Linked DNA regions of Tribolium castaneum. The protein of the gene in region 2 binds, or shares a complex with, the protein of the main gene of each other region. Links are inferred from orthologs where the notes say so. Each region holds a gene or a part of one and is shown on either strand. Other genes may lie near its edges.

Region 1 (5,219 bases), on a different chromosome or scaffold from region 2:
TTCCAAATTTTTAATATGTTATAGAAAAATATCTTCTGAAGCTGTTTTATAATAAAGAAGTTCATTTGCTGTATGTTATCCAATCAAGACAGCGGAAATTTTAACTTTGTGTTTTATTTGAATTTTTCAAGAATGGTTATTTTTGGCAGACTCTAACAAGAAAACCAAAAACAATATCTTTTCAAATTTTTAATATGTTATAAAAGAAGGTCTTCTGAAGCTGTTTTATAAAATTGAAGCTCACTGCTCTGTGTTATCCAATCAAGACAGTGGGATTTTTAACTTTATGTTTTATTTGAATTTTTCAAGAATGGTTATTTTTGGCAGACTCTCACAAGAAAACCGAAAATAATATCTTTCCAAATTTTTAATATGTTATAGAAGAAGGTCTTCTGAAGCTGTTTTATAATAAAAAAGTTCATTGCTCGATGTTATCCAATCAAGACAGCGGAATTTTTAATTTGGTGTTTTATTTGAATTTTTCAAGAATGGTTATTTTTGGCAGACTCTCACAAGAAAACCAAAAATAATATCTTTCCAAATATTTAATATGTTATAGAGGAAGGTCTTCTGAAGCTGTTTTATAAAAAAGAAGTTCATTGTTCTGTGTTATCCAATCAAGACAGCGGAATTTTTAACTTGGTGTTTTATTTGAATTTTTCAAGAATGGTTATTTTTGACAGACTCTAACAAGAAAACCAAAAATAATATCTTTTCAAATTTTTAATATGTTAGAGAAGAAGGTCTTCTGAAGCTGTTTTACAAAAAAGAAGTTCATTGCTCGATGTTATCCAATCAAGACAGCGGAATTTTTAACTTTGAGTTTTATTTGAATTTTTCAAGAATGGTTATTTTTGACAGACTCTCACAAGAAAACCAAAAATAATATCTTTCCAAATATTTAATATGTTATAGAGGAAGATCTTCTGAAGCTGTTTTATAAAAAAGAAGTTCATTGCTCGATGTTATCCAATCAAGACAGCGGAATTTTTAACTTGGTGTTTTATTTGAATTTTTCAAGAATGGTTATTTTTGACAGACTCTAACAAGAAAACCAAAAATAATATCTTTCCAAATTTTTTATATGTTATAGAAGAAGGTCTTCTGAAGCTGTTTTATAAAAAAGAAGTTCACTGCTCTATGTTATCCAATCAACACAGCGGAATTTTTAACTTTGTGTTTTATTAGAATTTTTCAAGAATGGTTATTTTTGGCAGACTCTAACAAGAAAACCAAAAATAATATCTTTCCAGATTTTTAATATGTTATAGAAAAAGGTCTTCTGAAGTTGTTTAATAAAAAAGATGTTCATTGCTCTATGTTATCCAATCAAGACAGCGGAATTTTTAACTTGGTGTTTTATTTGAATTTTTCAAGAATGGTTATTTTTGGAAGACTCTCACAAGAAAACCAAAAATAATATCTTTCCATATTTTTAATATGTTATAGAAGAAGGTCTTCTGAAGTTGTTTTATAAAAAAGAAGTTCATTGCTTTATGTTATCCAATCAAGACAGCGGGATTTTTAACTTTGTGTTTTATTTGAATTTTTCAAGAATGGTTATTTTTGGAAGACTCTCACAAGAAAACTAAAAATAATATCTTTCCAAATTTTTAATATGTTATAAAAGAAGGTTTTCTGAAACTGTTTTATAAAAAAGTTTTATAAAAAAGAAGTTCATTGTTCATAATATCTTTCCAGATTTTTAATATGTTATAGAAAAAGGTCTTCTGAAGTTGTTTTATAAAAAAGAAGTTCATTGCTTTATGTTATCCAATCAAGACAGCGGGATTTTTAACTTTGTGTTTTATTTGATTTTTTCAAGAATGTTTATTTTCGACAGACTCTAACAAGAAAACCAAAAATAATATCTTTCCAGATTTTTAATATGTTATAGAGGAAGGTCTTCTGAAGCTGTTTTATAAAAAAGAAGTTCATTGCTCTGTGTTATCCAATCAAGACAGCGGAATTTTTTACTTTGTTTTATTGATTTTTTCAAGAATGTTTATTTTTGACAGACTCTAACAAGAAAATCATAAATAATATCTTTCCAAATTTTTAATATGTCATAGAAGAAGGTCTTATTAAGCTTTTTTATAAAAAAAAAGTTCATTGTACTGTGTTATCTAATCAAGACAGCCGAATAACAAAAGAAAAGAGGTCATTCCTCATTTTTTTTAATAGAAAAACATTTAAAGTACTGATACTTACGCTCGGAATTGCGATTCCCCCCTTCACAAACTCCCACTCCCCTTCCCCATCCTCCTCATCCTCCTTCTTCACCTTCCGCCTCTCCTTCTCCTTACGTTCCTTCCTCCTTTCCTCCTTCCTCCGATCGCGTTCTTCATCATCTTCATGCGCCGGCCCAGTTTTCTTCAAAAACCGCTCCCTCATAGTCCCTTTCCCTTCATCTTCATCAAAACTATCCGAACTCGAGTCACTATCACTAGGCCAATCGTCCGAATCAGACGACCCTTCATCATCAACAATCTGTTTGGAAATTTTAGCCACAGCTTTGGCCGGCGCTTCAGTTTGAGTGTCTGGCTCAGGCTCGTGTTTCTCTTCCTCTTCTTCATCGTCCGGCTGGTCGGGGTTTTCCCTAAACTTGGCAATATCCTCCTCGAAATCTTTGATGTACTTGCGCAACTTCTGGCGCATTGAAGCCAAAGACTTGCTGTTGTTTTTGCTCATGTTTTTGCGTCCGTCGCGATCTTCCCACATTTCGTTGATGAAATCTTCCATTTCGACCAAACAACGGGTGAAGAAACGGGGCGTTTGCCCCGATTCTTCTTTCGCGATCACTGGGAGCGCTTTAACGTAGGCCTTCTGAAGGTCTTCAAAACTGGTCAACATGCTGCTCATGTCTTTGATTTTTTTGTAATTGCGGATTTGTTTGATAATGTTAGTGAGTTCCTCGTAACGCTTCTCTTTGGCGGAGCGAACCACACGTTTGACCTCCTCTTCATCGTCGCTAAACTAGAAGGGGGCCATTAAAAAAATGTTAAGCTACATGGGGGCTCACTTACGGTGAAAACGGGCGCTGGCGCGCGCTGAATTGGCTCTTCCTCGGAGGAGCTGTCGGAGTCTGAGTCCGAACCGGCGAAAAAACGACTCATTTTTTTACCTACAAAGTGACATAACCTCAAAAAAATTACGTGAAATAACGCAATAACTAGGCGTTAAATTGGCGTTAGGTAACGGTTTTTCGCTTCTTTGGGCCAAATGAAGACCGAAAACTTAATTTAAGACTACTTTAAAGCTAGTTACTGGGGCCCATGTGGTTCATGTTTGGAGACGGAACTCCCCAAAATTATAGTTAGAAATGTCGGAACCACAATTTTAAGGTAAAATACACGTGAAAGAGGCAAAACTTACGTGTTTAAAGCCTTTTTTTCACTTAACAGATTTTCCGACACGATTGTAACCACAAAATGGCCAAAAACTTGTGCCAACTGTCAAAATCGGGACTTTTTTGTCTTGTGATTGGTAGTGTTATGGTAATATCGTAAAAAAAGGGCAAATTAATTTGTTTTTGGGCACGAAAGGGCCCTTAAGTCGAGAGCCAGGGTTAGGTGGTGGTATTTAGGTTCAAGTTGTGTCAAAAGTAAGGATTCTACGGTTAAGATACCAAAGACGTACAAATGAAACGCTCGCGTTTTCGGTAGTTCCTTTATTGTCACCAGAGAGCGCACTTGTTCCATTAGCAGATAGCAAAGAAAAAATACAGGCACATAGAGCATTAAACTCTCGATAGTAAGACAAAAAAGTAAGGAACAAAGTTGTAGAAAATCAAATTTCCAATATATATTTTTTATTTAAATTAACTTATTTATCTCCTAAATACACAACAAAATTATTTCTTCTTGATAATGCTTTGGATTTTTTGCCACTCCCTGTCCAAATGCGCCTTTTCGTTCTTATCCTTATGCTTCCTGGACCTGCGCCCATCTGCCATTTTAAGGCCGTACTGGAAGGCTGCTTTCGGCAAAGCCTCCTTCTGGTTCATATAATCGGAATACTCCTCAGCTGTGTCAAAGTCCCAGCGTCCAATCGGCCCCTTTTTATTCCCCAAGTCCATCTTAGAATAATCAACCTCATCATCAGAATCATCAATCGCATCGTTCATTTCCTCCAATCCGGGATAACACTCAGCATATCCCTCAGGCTCTTGAGCCAGTTTATTAAGGATTTGTGCCGATTTACTGACTTTGAAAGTCGGTCCGCTATTTTCAAGCGCTTCCTCTTGTTTATCAAAGTACGTGTGTTTGTTATGGTCACGTGACGAGTTTCCATGTTTACCACTTCTTGTGGGTACGTAATCACCAATATCTCCATAGATGGAGTCATCACCGGTTGTACGTTTTGTTGTTTTTTTCGGTTCGGGTTCTTCCGGTTGTTCGTTTTCGCGACTTTCGGGGAGTCCCCGTTTGGTTTTTTTGTTCTTTCGGTTGCCTTGGCGCAAGTAACTTAAAATTTGGGTTAATTTATTTATGACAATGTCGTTGGTTGTGAGGGTTGTGGTGAGTTCAAATGACGGAACGTCGGCGATTGAACGGATTAAAGTTGTTGGAATGTCTGATTCAGCCTCATCGTCTGAAATAAAATTTTAATAGTCATGTTGGTATTAAATTAATAGGAATTTTAACATTAAAATTCATGTAAAAATTTTTAAAAAAGAATCACAAAAACCTTTAAAAAATCCAAAAAGAAGTACAGAAACAATGCTAGAAAATAAATAAGAGCAATTCTAAAAGAAACTAGAGAAGAATTTTTATAAGCGAGAGAGGAGAATATAAAAAAAATTGCGGATTTAAGATCTAAAGAAGTCTTTAGGAGATAATCATAAAAATCTTTAAAAAAATCTAAAAGACAGTAAAAAAACAATGCTAAAAAATGAACAAGAAGAATTCTAAAAGAAACTAGACAAGAATTTTTATAAGCGAGAGAAGAGAATCTAAAGGAAAATTTTGCTGATTTAAAATCTAAAGACCTCTTTAGGAAAGAATCACAAAAATCTTTTAAAAAAATCTAAAGGTAAGTACAAAAACAATGCTAAAAAATAAATAAGAAATATTATAAAAGAAACTAGAGAAGAATTTTTATAAGCGAGAAAGGAGAATTTAAAGGAAAATTTTGCTGATTTAAAATCTAAAGACCTCTTTAGGAAAGAATCACAAAAATCTTTTAAAAAAATCTAAAGGTAAGTACAAAAACAATGC
Region 2 (4,580 bases):
GAAATTTTTGTTATAAAATAAAACGAGCCAAAAAAATCTAATTTTAAATTTCCCGCTTTCGCTGTCTCACAGTTGCCGCACAACAACAAACCACTCATCTTGAAACCACCCAATGAAATCGAGTTGGCTTGACATCATTTGTTTCAAAGCGTCTTTTCCTTTAGTTTTTTGTGTTGAAAAAGCAGTGTTTTGTGCGTATTTAGTGCCAAAATGACTAAAATTAACGTTTTGTTCAAAATGTGACATCACAGAAGTCACAGCCAACGCATTTTGGACGCCACTTTTTGGAAGCCACAAAATTGAGGTTAGTAATTTTTCAGTCTCAAAAAACACAAAACGTAACTAAATGCAGTAATACGGAGCTGAAAATTTCATTATTTTTGCTTTTTCGAATGTTTTAGTTACATTTCACAAGTTGGAAGCGCCGGAATAAAATTTACCAAAATTATTTTCGTAATTAAATTTCAGTTTCAAACGAACGAAAAACACATTAACAAGGGCTTTATTTGTGTATTTTCTGTCAAAAAGTCAAAAAGCTATGACAGATAAATCCATAAAATCCGGGTTTTTGTTAAAAAAAAACAGAACATAGTTAGGTATTTTATTTTGGAATACTCTGTATACAGATTAAAATATTTTTAGAACGTGCCTAATAAGTCTTACAATAGTAAACCTAGCGTTTCAAAAAAATTCAACTTGATAGCTTGCATAGAAAAAAAGTTATGGAGCACCTGTATAATCATTATTTAAAATCATTGCTCCGAAAACTTAGACTTGGACGTAATCTAGGAACAAAAACAACCAAACTGTTTTATTAAAAAATTTATTAATACCAGCTATCCATTTAATAATCGAAATTATACTCAAAATATGACGAATCGAAATTATGCACTCTCACATAACCATCTTCACCTCCTGAACTATAACTCTTGCCATCTGGATGAAACGCCACACTATTAATCGGCCCAAAATGCCCTTTAACCCTCCCAAACTCTTCTTCAAACACCATATGGAAAAACCTCGAGTCAAATTTCCCAACCCTTGCCGACGTGGTTGTCACATCCATGGCATCTTGCCCTCCGCCCACAACCACATGCTCAAAAATGGGGCTAATGGCAGCTGAATTAACCGGCCGTTCTGTCTTGTAAGTCTTCAGTAACATCAAATCAGCAGCGTCGAACAGTTTAGCTGTGTGGTCTTTGGACGCTGTCACAAACATTGTCCCGTCTTTATTCCACTGCATATCGTTGATTAAATGTTCGTGTTCACGTGTTGAACTGATCTCTTTGCCTGACTTCAAGTCCCACTTGATCAAATCCCCGTTTTCGTGCCCGGTTATTATAGTTTCGTCCAGGTTATCCCATAGGATTGACGAAACACGGGAACCTTTAATCGGGATGCGTAAAATGGGGTCGGCGTGCGAGATGCTTTCGTCCACGTTACGGACGTCAATAATGAAGATCTCGCAGTTGTGTTTGAGGGCTTTGTCGGTGGTGTACACTGCCATGTTGCCCGAGTAGCTAAACAGACACGTTCGGACTGATGAATTGGTTGAGATGTTCCCGATTTCTTTGCCCGTTTCACAGTCCCATACTTTAAGGGTGTTGTCACCGGCACCTGACAGGAACCTATAAAGTTTAAATAGTTTAAAAAGTAGCAAAATAGGTGATATTTCTGGTCTAAGTAGTATTTGATTAAATCAGTAAAAGCAAATTAATCAAAACTTGTACAGGGTGTCTCACCTAAAACTTTCGAGATTAATATCTGTTTTATTAATTTTAATTTTAAAATTACGATTTTAAGACTTCAGTTTTTGCATTAATTGGATTTTAATCTTTACTTTCCTAAATATCTGCATTTTAATTTTCATAAAAATACGTTGACAAATAACTGAGATATCAGGCTCAAAAGTATTAGGTGAGGCACCCTGTATATTCGCTACTGAGGCAACCTTATCGCGCACCCATTTGCTTTATTGCAGCAATAAATTTATTATTATTATTAACCTAGTGGTGGTCCAGTCGACGTCGATGCACCAGACAGCCCCCTGGTGGCCGTTGAAGGTTCCCAACCTCTCGCCATTAAGGGAGTACCAAACGTTGGGTTTGTTGTCCTTTGAGGAGGAGAAGAGGAGGTCGCCCTCACGGTTGTACTTGATTTGGGTGATGGCACGTTCGTGGCCGTGGAGTAGAAGGGGTTTCTGTGGGGGTTTTGAGGTTAAATTTAAGCGAACAATATGTGGGTGAAATTGTGGGGTAATGTAATGTTTTACGGTTGTGGGGCGTTTTTTTCGATTGATTGTGAGTCGTTACTTACCATTTTGTTAAAAAACTGGGCGTTTTTTTAAGGATTTTAATGATTAAACACGCTTTTTTTGACGGTTGTTTGACAGAAGAGGTGTCAAAATTAACTGTCATGGTGGGTTGTGCAGTGGCGGGGTTAAGTCAGTGCCGGCTCAGGTGAAATAACCGTATTGTCAAAATTAACTGATAAATGGCGTTATTGCCATTTTGGCAATTTTTAGCAGTTGGGAAAAATATGTAATAAAATTAACTGTGATTATTGATTAAAAACTCTTTGGGCCTTTACTGATTTTTTTTTTTAATTATTATCTTTACAAACTTAATCTTTTAAAATAATATTTCATTGTAGCGATTTTGTTTATTTTTGTATGAAATAAAGGGCTTTTGGCAGTAAAAAAATTAAGTAGAGCCATTAATTTAAGACCTTGGGACCTTACAATCTTTTTTTTATCTCAACTTTTTAAACTTTATTTTTTCAACTCCCTTTTCGTGTTTTAATTTTTGTAGGAAGCAAAGCCTGATGATGGGAATTTGATTGTAAAAAAAATTAAGTGTGGATAAATATTCCCTGGGGCCTTACCTATTTTTTTTTCTTTTTTTTTTGGAAAATATTTTAATTTTTCAAACATTATTTTTTAACCCCCTTCCCATTTATTGATTTTGTTCAATTCTGCAAGGAATATATAGCCTAGCCATGAGACTTTCGACTGTAAAAAAATTAATTGATGACAAACATTCTGCTTACTGAATGTTTTTCTTTTGTTTTTTTGCAAATGTTTTACTTTTTAAACTTCATTTTTTTCAACCGGCTTTCCGTACTGCAATTTTGTTTATTATTGCAGGAAATAAAGCTCTTGGATAGTGTTCGACTGTAAAACAATCAAGTGGAGGTAAACACTCTTTAAAACCTAACAGATTTTTTCTTTTTATTTTCAAAATTATTTTGAATTTTAGAACTTAATTTTCGCAACGCTTTTACCGTGTAAATAATAAATATTTTTGCTAGTAATAAAGCGCTCCAGTAGGGCCTTGGCTTGTAAAAAAATGAAGTGGGGACAAATATTCCTTGTAATCTTATTGAATTTTTTTTCTTTTTTTCTTTTTTGAAAACTCCTTGACTTTTCAAACTTTATTTTTTCAATCTCCTACCCGTGTAGCGACTTTGTTAATTTTTGCAAGAACGCGTCCTACTGATTTCAGCAACTGTAAACTAAAGAAACAAAATGGGGATAAACACTTTTTTTCGAAATATGTACAGGGTGTAATAAAAAACAAAGAAACTAAAGATTTAATCCAACTTTAACTTACCTTTATATCAAGTCGCACATTTTAAAAGTTAAAGCCAAAGTTTTTGCTTGCTTAATAAAAAAAACTCCAATTAAAATCTGAACAAGAATTTTATTGTAAAATAACACAATACTCTAAATATTTACATACAATTGCGTCAATTTGTAATGAAAAAAAATCCAACTACTGAATAACATGAAATTTAGTTGCCCTTGAGTAGATTGCCTTTACTTGTTATCAACGAAGGACCCTTGTAATAACGAACCAAAAGACTAGACCCTCTTTTCAATTGATTACGACTCGACAAATCATTCCAACAATCAATCCAAGTGTTGTAGTGCAACATATAAGGGGGCGATCCAGCCAACAAACCCGAATTCGAGACAGCCATGCAATTTGACACCACTTGGAAGGGGTACATTATTGATGAGGACACCATCTGCGAAATGTGATTCTTGAACAACAAATACTATAAATGGTTTAGTTATTTTTTAGTCAAAATATTGGCAACAGTGCGGCCATAATCTCTGTGTTTTGAAAAAGTGCATTGTTGACCTTTGAAATTATTTTCAAGTGTACAGACTTTTTCCAGATATGAGTTACTTTTATAAAAAATACTTTTCAATAATATAGGACTTTTTCAAATCGCTGGGACAATATTTCATTGAATGACAGTCGGGCTCACCAACTGTGTTTTTTTTTAAATTCACTTACACACACAGCGGCTGAAGTATAATTTTGTATTTCCTTCTCTTCTATTAGATACTTATTGACAACATAAGTCAGACTGCTTGCCAACAAAACGGACAAAATATCCCCAATCAGTCTGGGTATGAGTCCGCTGAAAAAACCCAAAATTCCATTCTGTCTGTATATTTCACCAATGGAACCAAACACACCCCTGTAAACCCCCCAAAAATAATAATCTCCCCTAAAATCGAATACAGTAAACTAAACTTACACATATTTGGCTTCTTTTCCAACAAATTG
Region 3 (5,055 bases), on a different chromosome or scaffold from region 2:
GAAAGATATTTCGCTTAACTCCACAATGTGAATTCATAAGTGAAATATTTCGAAAACTACTGTGGGTATAGGGCTCCTGTTGTTGATAAAAACAAAACTAAAACATTTAAGATATTGGAAAAGACAATAACAAACATATTGTATAAGTGCGGCAATAAATTATATAGTTCATTCAAAAAAAAAAAAAATAAAGTAACAAACCTTTCCCCCCTCCATTATTTCATTCGTGGAAGAATAACAAATTAGTTTCGAGGGAAAAATAGTTTAAAAAGCTGATGTTTTGTAAAATGAAAAAAATTATTAAAGTGCACTTATCTTCATGGCATCTACTTCCGCTACAATATGTAGCAATAAGGTATTGCAAATAAATAAAAACCAAGTTAATATTATGTCATTATTATACCTACCATTCCACATTTCACTTACAATATGTTAATTGTATCACATATTCAATCCCACTTGGAGATGAGCAATTGAAAAAATACACTTTACGACATCATAAACTCAAATGTCATCAAATTAGTTTGAAAATTTTATAAAGTAGTTAATCTGTTGTAAAATGTTGCACTCAAACGATTATAACTTTTCAACATCTCAAATTGTGTGGGTTCGAGTAAAAATAAAACTGTTAATTTGATTTAGTTATTGAATGTTGGAACGTATTAACAAAAAAAGAATGAATCATACGATAATATGACATCTTACGTCATAAAAATGTGCTGATAATCTTGAATAAGTAAATTCTAAACCTAATAAAGTAAATCCGCAACAAAATAGAATAATGCACTTACCTTTATTTTTCTTTTGTTGTGAATACGACAGCTTTACTTTCTTTGTTGAAAAAAATTAAAAAATGCGTGAGCAAATGCACCTTGCTGCTGCTACACGACAAGAGTCCGTTTTATTTTTTTTTCACTTGTTGGTTAATACTATGCACGAGAATTAACTGCAAATTATTATTTATTGATCATTTTATTTCGGCCTTTCGCTAATACATGATAAAAATACAAAATCTAGCGTTTCGCACTGTTGGTGTATGGATAAAGGGTCTGGAAAGTCACGGAATCAGGGGGCACCTCATCCTCCGACTCCGACTCCCCGTCCGATTCGAACGTATTATCCGGAATATCGTACAACCGGATCATCGGCTTATTCGGATCTTTCATAATCAAATACTTCCCATCCTTCTGTTTCATAACAATGTCAATAATACACCGCAGAATCCCCCACGCATTATCCATATTCAGATTAATCTGAGTGGCAAACTCGTGCGGCTTATACTGCTGTGTACCCAGAATAACATGCTTGCTGTTATCCCTGACATGGGCCCGGGAAACATAACCGAATTTAATTTGGTCGCTGCCAGCCAGCAACGCCTGAACGGTCCATTTGGCCAGCTTGCAGGCGTTATTACGCAGCTCATTGGCCAAAACGGCGCCTCTCTGGGTGTCCAGTTTCTGGCGCCACTCCACCCCATTGGCCAATTTGGAATCCCATTCGTTCAAGGCCTTGATTGACAGGAATTGGAGCTCGCCATTCGGGGACTGGACCACGGCATCGTGTTCGCAACGGACAACCAAAAACTACACAAATTAAACGTGGACAGAAACAAAACGAAAAAATTACTATTCCGCTCCCTAGGTCATATTTGCGGTATCTGTAGGCCACACTGGCGACCTCCCCTTCCTCCTCCTCGGAGATAAAAGGGTTTGGGTTGTCGAACTTGAAGCGGGGCTCCCCGGTACCTGTTCTTAATACCTGTTGACTGAAATTGTGGTTAATGAAAGTGGCTTCCAAGGCCAGGTTTCGAGGGGAGTTTAAGGAGTTGCCGTCGTCTTGTGGGGGCTCCACGGACGTTTCGTTGACGGTTAAAAGATCAAACTCCGTATTGTCACGCTTATCAAAGAAGAGTTTATCGCCTGAAAAATTTTGTTTGAGATTTGTTACACTTGTAAGGGCACAGTACCAATTTTTTCAATCACGATGTCCCAGGAATAATTCGAGCGAGTGCAGCACATGATGGTCGCAAGGATCGCATCAGTGGCGTACACATTGCCCTCCGTTTTACTCAACTTACGGATAATCGGATCATCAGTTGTTGTAACCTGAGGATAATTAATTTTAATTTTTTGCCATCAATGATATTAAAAATAACCCACTGTATGGAAGATACGATTGACGCTTTGCAGCGGCTTCTCATTCTTCACGTTGACACGATCGTACGACTTGTCATAGTACTCCAACTCGCCACAACAAGTAATATCCTCGCCTAAAAACCAAAATAGAAAAATTCGCATTGCTTAATTAAACCAACCGTCTTTGACGTTAGGGAGCGACAATTTTCCCAACCGAGGGAAATCCATTTCCTCAATGGTGACCCAATCCGGTTTGACCGTAACCGAAGCGTCCCTGATCTTAATCTGGGGCTAAAACCGCCAACTATATTGCGGTAAAACTCAAGCGAGATCTTACCCGTCCTTGTCCCCATTTCTTAACCTGGCTCCTCTTATACGTGTCCCTGGCTTTAACCCCCTTCCCGAGGGACTGCATGCCGCTGCCTTGCACCCCAGCACGGCCGCCACGCCCGCGCAAGTTGCGCTGGTTCGCGCGGAAGCGCCCCCGTTGATAGGGGGGCTTCTGGACGCGTGTTGTGTCCACCAAATGAAAAGTGCTCTCGTCTTCGTCATGATAATACGCGTATTGACTGCCAGAACCGAACTGGGACGCATACTTGTCTAAAATTGCGAAAAATAAGTCACTTAACCTCAAATTTGACATGTGTCAATGTCAGACTAACTGGCATATTTCTTGTCTTGGAAGGCGGCCCCCGTCCAGTCGCTGATTTTGCCGAGACGGTCGCCTTTGCTGAAGGGCTGGTACGGCATATCTTTGAACTGGTCGGGCAGCTCGCAGGGCCCCCATCCAGTCGGGTTGTCCTGGATTACGGGGGCCACGAATTTGGGGACCTCACCCGCTGATTGACCATCAGTCATAGTCATTTGACTTGCTTTCAGAAGTTAGGAAGTGTTCAATTCAATATGTTGAAGCAGAAACCGCGAGTTGTGCACAACACTTGGCAAAAAGAAATGTGCGCGCGCAGATTCTGACAATCGACAGTTTTTGAAATTCGGCGCTTTTGAAATCAAAATAACATGGCCAACTTACATCAAATGTCGCTGCGCTTGAGAAAACATTTTCATCCACTTTTTTTTCAATTTAATTCTCTAATTTTTGTTTACGTGTTGTTTCACTTACCTTTTCTACACTTTTTTTCAGAAAAAAATTGTCACCCTGATCCGCAGCGACATTTGATGTAAGTTGGCGATGCTAAATAATAATGGAATCCTGTTAAAAATCCTTCACTCTTGGGTTTCCAATTAATTTTAAATTAAATTTTTTCCATTACAACCTAATTGATTTATTGCATTGTTAATAACTAATATTTAACTTGGAAAAACAGCAAGAAAATAAGCTCTAATGGCAATAAGGCATTATTTTTTTCTATTTTGGTGTCTCACTAACTTTATTTTGCATAAAAACTCATTGCCATCACAAAGAACGCAACAGCGCAAAAATTTGTATTGAATTCAAATTCTTCTACACGTAACTTCACTTTTTCGTAGTATATTTTACGTCCCCTATTATTGCGTATTGACGATGACATCAGATTTCTCTCAGCAAAGAGAACACTGATAAGGAGTGGGTTTAATAAGCTCGCATTTGCATAACACACATTTATTTATAATAAATTTAAATACGAATTTGTAAATATTATGCCTGGCACACATCTGTACAAAAAGTGCCCATAAAATACAAGCAATACCGTTATCATGTCCACGACAATGAATAAATAACACATTTTGACTCCATATTTACAACATGCTGTCTGTGACTTCGCCCGGATTCTCCAGCGCGGCTTTGCGTTCGCTGACAGCGGTCACAAGTTTCCTGTACGGCCCTAGGGGCAAGTTCAGGCTTTGGAGATCGTTTTCTGTCAGTATCATCAGCGTTTCCAGGTCGATTTTCTGCTCCTCGAAGCGGGGAAGGTACTCTCCTAGCCCCCAGGCGGTCAAGAAGCGTTCCAGGGGAGCGTTCGGGTTATCGTCGTCGCTGGACTCGGGGTCTGATAACTCGTCTTCGATTGATAGAGTGTTGGTTCTGGGGCCGTAGCTTTCCCCTGACCCGATTGAACTCTCCTCGTTGGGGCCTTCGCTGGAGTAGAAGCCTTGGAATGTGTTGGTTATGCTCTTTCTAAATAAAAAACGTGTTTTTGTGCTTTCGCATATTGATTATTTGTTACCGGAACGCTATGCTTCCAATTCCTGGGCGCACGAAAATACTCGCTGGTTCTTGTTGGAGTTTAGTGTCGCCGTTTGTTTCCAATTCGTGCATGAAGTCAGGCTGGGAGATGGACCTTGTGAGGCCGTTGCTGGACGGTGGTGGCGGCGGAGACGACTCTATGTACTCAGCTTCGTTGAAGACCGATTCCAGACGGCCTCTCCTGCCATCGATGGTCCCCGTGTAAAGTACCTCAGAGTCTCGCCGATACCCCGTTAGTGATCTGACTGAGCGTTTGCCGTCTTCAATTTCACTAATCTGGAACGAGTTTTTCAAATAAATGCTTATTTACTCTCGGGAGCACCTTGAAGTCGTCGTCGAAGCCAGGCCGCGTTGTTCGGCTGGCGAGCACCCGCTTCTGCACCGACCCCAAATTCCGCATCCCGGAAACGGTCCCGTTGCCCACGATGGTGCTGAACCTCGGAGGGGCCGGCCCCAGATTCGACAAGTTCGACATGGACCCACTTTTAATTCTGGTTTTGAGCGTCTCTATCATCGACGGCCTGTGGTGACCTTTGTTCATACGTTTCTCCAGCTTCTCTTGAACTTGCTCTTTTTTGACTTGGCGTTTGTTGAATTCCTGAAAAGAAAGTGAAACGATTGGTTTCTCTCGACGGGGCCGTGTTTTACTTTGATGCGTTTTTCTGACTCTTTCTTTGCTTTTTCTTTGAGTGCTTTGGCTTTCTTTTTGTCGCCGGCCTCCAGTTTGGCGTGGAC
Region 4 (4,181 bases), on a different chromosome or scaffold from region 2:
ACTAAATACTTTTATTGTTGGTCCACACTGTATATGTATTTGTACCAAAAGGTTTTCTCGGTACGTGTGTATAGAAATGTAAAACCGTGGATTTGTCCATGTGCCATTTTAAAATTCTGTAAATACGATAAATGGGACGACGCCAGTGGTGAATGTTACCTAGAGTCTAGTCGTAGTGTTAAGCTATTTTATCAATGTAAAATGGGGAATTTTTTCAAATGAATTAATCAACATTTTTATACTCATGACACGATTTTTCTTATTGATTGAACTGCTAATAGCGTAATACGAAACGATTTATTGTGATTGATTATCTAGTCTTGTTTTGTTGTTGTTTTTCGTGTGTTGTTTGTTATTGGTTTGTATGAGTTTGAGAAAGTTGCACAAAAAAGTGTGTACATTTTGGCCAGTTTGTGCAATAGAAATGTAAATAAATAAAATTCATTTCTTTAGGTTCGTAAGACTGTAATGACTAAATTGATGTTTAGGGCAATTGAATACATTATTTTTTAAAAGCTGTGTCCTTTATTTCAATCAAAAAACAACAAAATCAACATAAACGATGAAAAGGTTGCGAATATGACTTTCTCCACTGTTGGTTTAGTACCATTTTTTAAGGGGATGATTAAACGTTCAAACGTAGAAATTTCACAGAAGAGACGCCACCACAAAACCTACTGACTGCGCCAATTAAGCTTTATTACGCCTGGTTTAAATAAAACCCAAACTCATTGTATATTATTTTATTGTAAAACAACGTAACAAAACAGTTCAAGGATTAGAATTCGCCTCCTTGGCGTTCTGCAACGCTTGCGTAATATACAACTTAGCCAAACTCTGCGAGCACAACTGGGAAATGGCCTGACTATACGTATTAATCTGTCCCGCGATAATCATCGGGTTCAGCCTCGGGGGCACCGGATGTGGCCTAAACAGCTTATTAATGTCCTCTTCGGGCAATGGGGGCTCGTCTTTCGCGGCCCTAGCCGCATTTTCCTGCGCCCTCTTTTGCAAATATCTGTGTTTGTCTTGCTGTTGCCGGCTGACCAACTGTTGGTATCTATTAAACTTGATCGCTTCTTGGTTGAGTTCGTCAACTCGGTCCATGAGGCAGCGCAATTGCCCCTCGAGGACGGAGGCGGTTCCCAAATCTAAAAATTTCGAGCCTTCTTCTTCCGGGACAAGTTCTTGCAATTCGGACATCATGATGTTGGTCAAGGCGGAGTTTTTAATAACGAAGGGGACCTCGATGAAGAGGTTCTCGTATCCGACTTTGAGCTTCAAGAGGGCCTCGGGCGTGAATTCGCCCTCCTTGTACATCTCAATGGCTTGAGGCGTCAAACGGTAGGCTTTAAGTGTGAGGAACCCGCGCGAGGATTTTTGAGTGTCGTAAATCACAACGACGGATTCCTCGATTGAGGTTTGGTAGTGGAATTGCGATTCGAGAAGAGGGAGGCTGAGGAAGTTCCCGACGTCGGCGCTTTGGTACCACCCCACATGGAAGTGGTCGACGTTGACGCGTCGCAGGCGCCGCATCATCGCTAGCTGGTACTCGTCCTCGTCCATTGTCTCGTCGGTTTGTTTCGGGAATGGGAAACAATTCGTGATTTCCAGCCGGTTTTCAACGACAAGGCCGAGAAGGGCCCCCTGGGCTATGTCCATGTTAGTGGTCGATTCCTCATGGCAGTGTTTTACGATCTTCATGACGGCCTGAAAGAGGTTAGGTTCCGTATGTTAGGTATTAATTACTAACTGAGGTAGCCAAAGTGTGACTTTTGGGTTTAAATAAACTGAAGGGATATTTACCAAGCCGTCGGCTTGCACGTAAGCAATCGTCGAGTCATTTTCAGGCACACGCCTCGAAGCAGCCCCACGAGACGCCATTTTAAACTGCCAAAAATACCTGCCAATGTAGCGCAAACAAAAACTCCACAATTGCTACAAAAACACAATTTTCGTAAAAATTGCCAGCCGATAATGGCCTTATTTAACGATTACGTTGTTTGTTACCAAATTTTGTAGCAGCTAACACAATCTCGTGTTTTTTGGACGTGAAATAATTATTATATTAGTGTTTTAGGCTGATCTAGTCGGTGTCTAAATTCCCCTACGTTTCCACCAGTCCCACCTGTCATTGGAAATTTATCAGCTGACGAGAGCATTAGAAAGCAAAATAAATGGCTGGTTTAAGACAAATATCATGTTTTTGGTATTTAGTGGTGTTTGCGGGGCTGTGTTTTCTCGAATCAAACGGTAACGTAGCAGCTGAAGACGTCCTCCCGTCGAAGCTAAGTCAAAATGTTGGGGCCCCAACCTTAAAATTTTTGTATTGGTATGTTCCCCTAGCCCCAATATCATAATCTAATTATTTAATTTAGTTATTCGTGTGGTTACCGGAAAACGTTCGAGCAGTACGTAAAAATCGTTGGGGACAAATACCCTTTTATAGCCGTTGATGGCCAAAATTACGACCCCCCAGGCTTGAACATGTATTTGGCCAGACTTATTGTAAGTATGATATAATGAGTGAAAGTTGATGATTATGCGTTTTCAGGGCATCGTTAAAATGGTGATAATCGTGTGTATTTTGGGGGCTATTAACATATTTGAATACATTAACCAACCACAGCCTTCATGGTGGATTTGGTGCACAGAAAACAAGCTTTATGCTTGCATGATGCTGTTCTTTGTGTGTAATATTATCGAAGGACAGTTGATTCAATCGGGGGCTTTTGAAATCTCACTGAATGACGTTCCTGTTTGGTCCAAACTGGAGACGGGCAGGATACCACAACCTGCAGAGCTTTTCCAAATCATCGATAATCATATGCAGTTCACTGACAGCAAAATTGAACTGAGCAACGGATTCCCGAAGTAAAGTTACTATAAATTTCGAAAATGATTGTTTTGTTATCAGATTGTTCTTTTTTAAATTTGTTGTGAGTCTGGTAGTGTCATTCTATAATTTTTTGTCTGGTCACTATCACACAGCGTTCAGTATGTTTGAATGTATGATTTATAAATAACTAGATTTGTGATAAGTAAAAGTTGTACATAAAGAAATTGTCTTCTTATTTGATACCTAATAAAACCCAAAAACTCATCGTTTTTATGATTTATTCATTTGTTACATTACAAAATCATTTGGCAGTGTTTAATAGAAAGGCACATAAAATATGAATCACATTTTCCTGTCGTAAGCCTTAAAACTAATTAGCACCTTTGAGATAAAAAAGATCAAAAACAAGCAAGAATTCAAGTATTAAAAAAATAAATTCTATACAAAGAGCCACTGTCGTAATCGCTTAAATAAAATTAAGAACCTAAATCCTTACAAGTAAAAAATATTCTAATAGGATTTGTGTTTGAACACGGCGTACGTTCCTTCTCAAGGACAAATGTTAACATCAAATCTATGTTACAATTAATTTACACATAATTACAAAGTTAATAACTGTTATGGCACGTCGATCACGGCGTATTTTGCGGTCTCCTGTGTCTCAATCTCTGCCTCAAACGCCTCCTCCTATTCTCTTCCAAGTTCCTGTAACTTCCTGGTGGATAGCCTGGGGGCCGATACGGGGTCCCGTATGTGGGTCTTGTGATTCGACTAGGGGTGACAATTGCAGTGCGACTGGTGTACCGTCTGCGGATGCAAACGGCGCATCTGCTGACTCTTGAGGTCAAATAGCCGGCTTTGAGAGTCTCCGAACGCGGTTTTTGGAACATGGCTGAATCCTCTATGGTGGCCAGCCAGTAGGACAGGATGGTGGTGTAGTAGTTGCAGCGGCCGTGACCGTGGCATTCGATGAAGGGTTTGGGGCGGAACTCTTCGAGGCATGAGCCGGGGGAGACGAGGGATTGGCCTGAGCCTTCGGCACCGGCGTCCACGTGCTGCAATATATGTTAAACAAATGTGGGTTCGAGGGGGTGAAGAGAGTTACCATAAGGAAGCTGTATCCGGCCCAGAGTTCGTCCCAGCCGTTGGGACACTGTGGGATGGTTGTCGATTGACTGTGGACGGCGATGACACGTGTGACAGATTCGCAAACGGAGCATCTGAAAGCAAAACGGTTAAAAATGTACAAAAATAGAATATGTTCGTTCATACCTTGAAATATAGCGTCTGACTTCTGGTGCTGGGATGGGTGTCATCATTGCCGGCATTGGCTCTGTCGTAG

What was found.
Region 1: eIF3i (region 2) and eIF3c share a complex: the UniProt entries of both Drosophila melanogaster proteins name them as parts of the eukaryotic translation initiation factor 3 (eIF-3) complex. The link is inferred for Tribolium castaneum from reciprocal best matches to the Drosophila melanogaster genes eIF3i and eIF3c.
Region 3: eIF3i (region 2) and eIF3d1 share a complex: the UniProt entries of both Drosophila melanogaster proteins name them as parts of the eukaryotic translation initiation factor 3 (eIF-3) complex. The link is inferred for Tribolium castaneum from reciprocal best matches to the Drosophila melanogaster genes eIF3i and eIF3d1.
Region 4: eIF3i (region 2) and eIF3h share a complex: the UniProt entries of both Drosophila melanogaster proteins name them as parts of the eukaryotic translation initiation factor 3 (eIF-3) complex. The link is inferred for Tribolium castaneum from reciprocal best matches to the Drosophila melanogaster genes eIF3i and eIF3h.

Annotation. Positions count from the first base shown.
Region 1 is NC_087401.1:16,333,582-16,338,800, forward strand, and holds the start of eIF3c (eukaryotic translation initiation factor 3 subunit C), read right to left. Parts: upstream 3,504-5,219; 5' UTR 3,372-3,503; intron 3,125-3,371; exon of another isoform or gene 3,122-3,124; 5' UTR 3,117-3,121; coding exon 3,027-3,116; intron 2,977-3,026; coding exon 2,212-2,976; intron 1-2,211. Other genes in the region: beag (protein Red), read right to left, coding at 3,854-4,593. UniProt on the Drosophila melanogaster protein: Component of the eukaryotic translation initiation factor 3 (eIF-3) complex, which is involved in protein synthesis of a specialized repertoire of mRNAs and, together with other initiation factors, stimulates binding of mRNA and methionyl-tRNAi to the 40S ribosome.
Region 2 is NC_087394.1:748,164-752,743, forward strand, and holds eIF3i (eukaryotic translation initiation factor 3 subunit I), read right to left. Parts: upstream 2,445-4,580; 5' UTR 2,320-2,444; coding exon 2,317-2,319; intron 2,201-2,316; coding exon 2,007-2,200; intron 1,629-2,006; coding exon 845-1,628; 3' UTR 808-844; downstream 1-807. Other genes in the region: mitochondrial carrier homolog 2, read right to left, coding at 3,793-4,059, 4,305-4,491, 4,552-4,580. UniProt on the Drosophila melanogaster protein: Component of the eukaryotic translation initiation factor 3 (eIF-3) complex, which is involved in protein synthesis of a specialized repertoire of mRNAs and, together with other initiation factors, stimulates binding of mRNA and methionyl-tRNAi to the 40S ribosome.
Region 3 is NC_087399.1:4,807,281-4,812,335, reverse strand, and holds eIF3d1 (eukaryotic initiation factor 3 p66 subunit), read right to left. Parts: upstream 3,067-5,055; 5' UTR 3,000-3,066; coding exon 2,798-2,999; intron 2,736-2,797; coding exon 2,473-2,735; intron 2,427-2,472; coding exon 2,315-2,426; intron 2,270-2,314; coding exon 2,160-2,269; intron 2,106-2,159; coding exon 1,967-2,105; intron 1,920-1,966; coding exon 1,627-1,919; intron 1,584-1,626; coding exon 1,014-1,583; 3' UTR 957-1,013; downstream 1-956. Other genes in the region: Sans (ankyrin repeat and SAM domain-containing protein 4B), read right to left, coding at 3,873-4,251, 4,301-4,596, 4,643-4,918, 4,969-5,055. UniProt on the Drosophila melanogaster protein: mRNA cap-binding component of the eukaryotic translation initiation factor 3 (eIF-3) complex, which is involved in protein synthesis of a specialized repertoire of mRNAs and, together with other initiation factors, stimulates binding of mRNA and methionyl-tRNAi to the 40S ribosome.
Region 4 is NC_087398.1:6,460,729-6,464,909, forward strand, and holds eIF3h (eukaryotic translation initiation factor 3 subunit H), read right to left. Parts: upstream 2,035-4,181; 5' UTR 1,885-2,034; coding exon 1,807-1,884; intron 1,711-1,806; coding exon 772-1,710; 3' UTR 729-771; downstream 1-728. Other genes in the region: SelT (thioredoxin reductase-like selenoprotein T homolog CG3887), read left to right, coding at 2,178-2,332, 2,379-2,508, 2,555-2,878; vkg (collagen alpha-2(IV) chain), read right to left, coding at 3,472-3,894, 3,945-4,059, 4,112-4,181. UniProt on the Drosophila melanogaster protein: Component of the eukaryotic translation initiation factor 3 (eIF-3) complex, which is involved in protein synthesis of a specialized repertoire of mRNAs and, together with other initiation factors, stimulates binding of mRNA and methionyl-tRNAi to the 40S ribosome.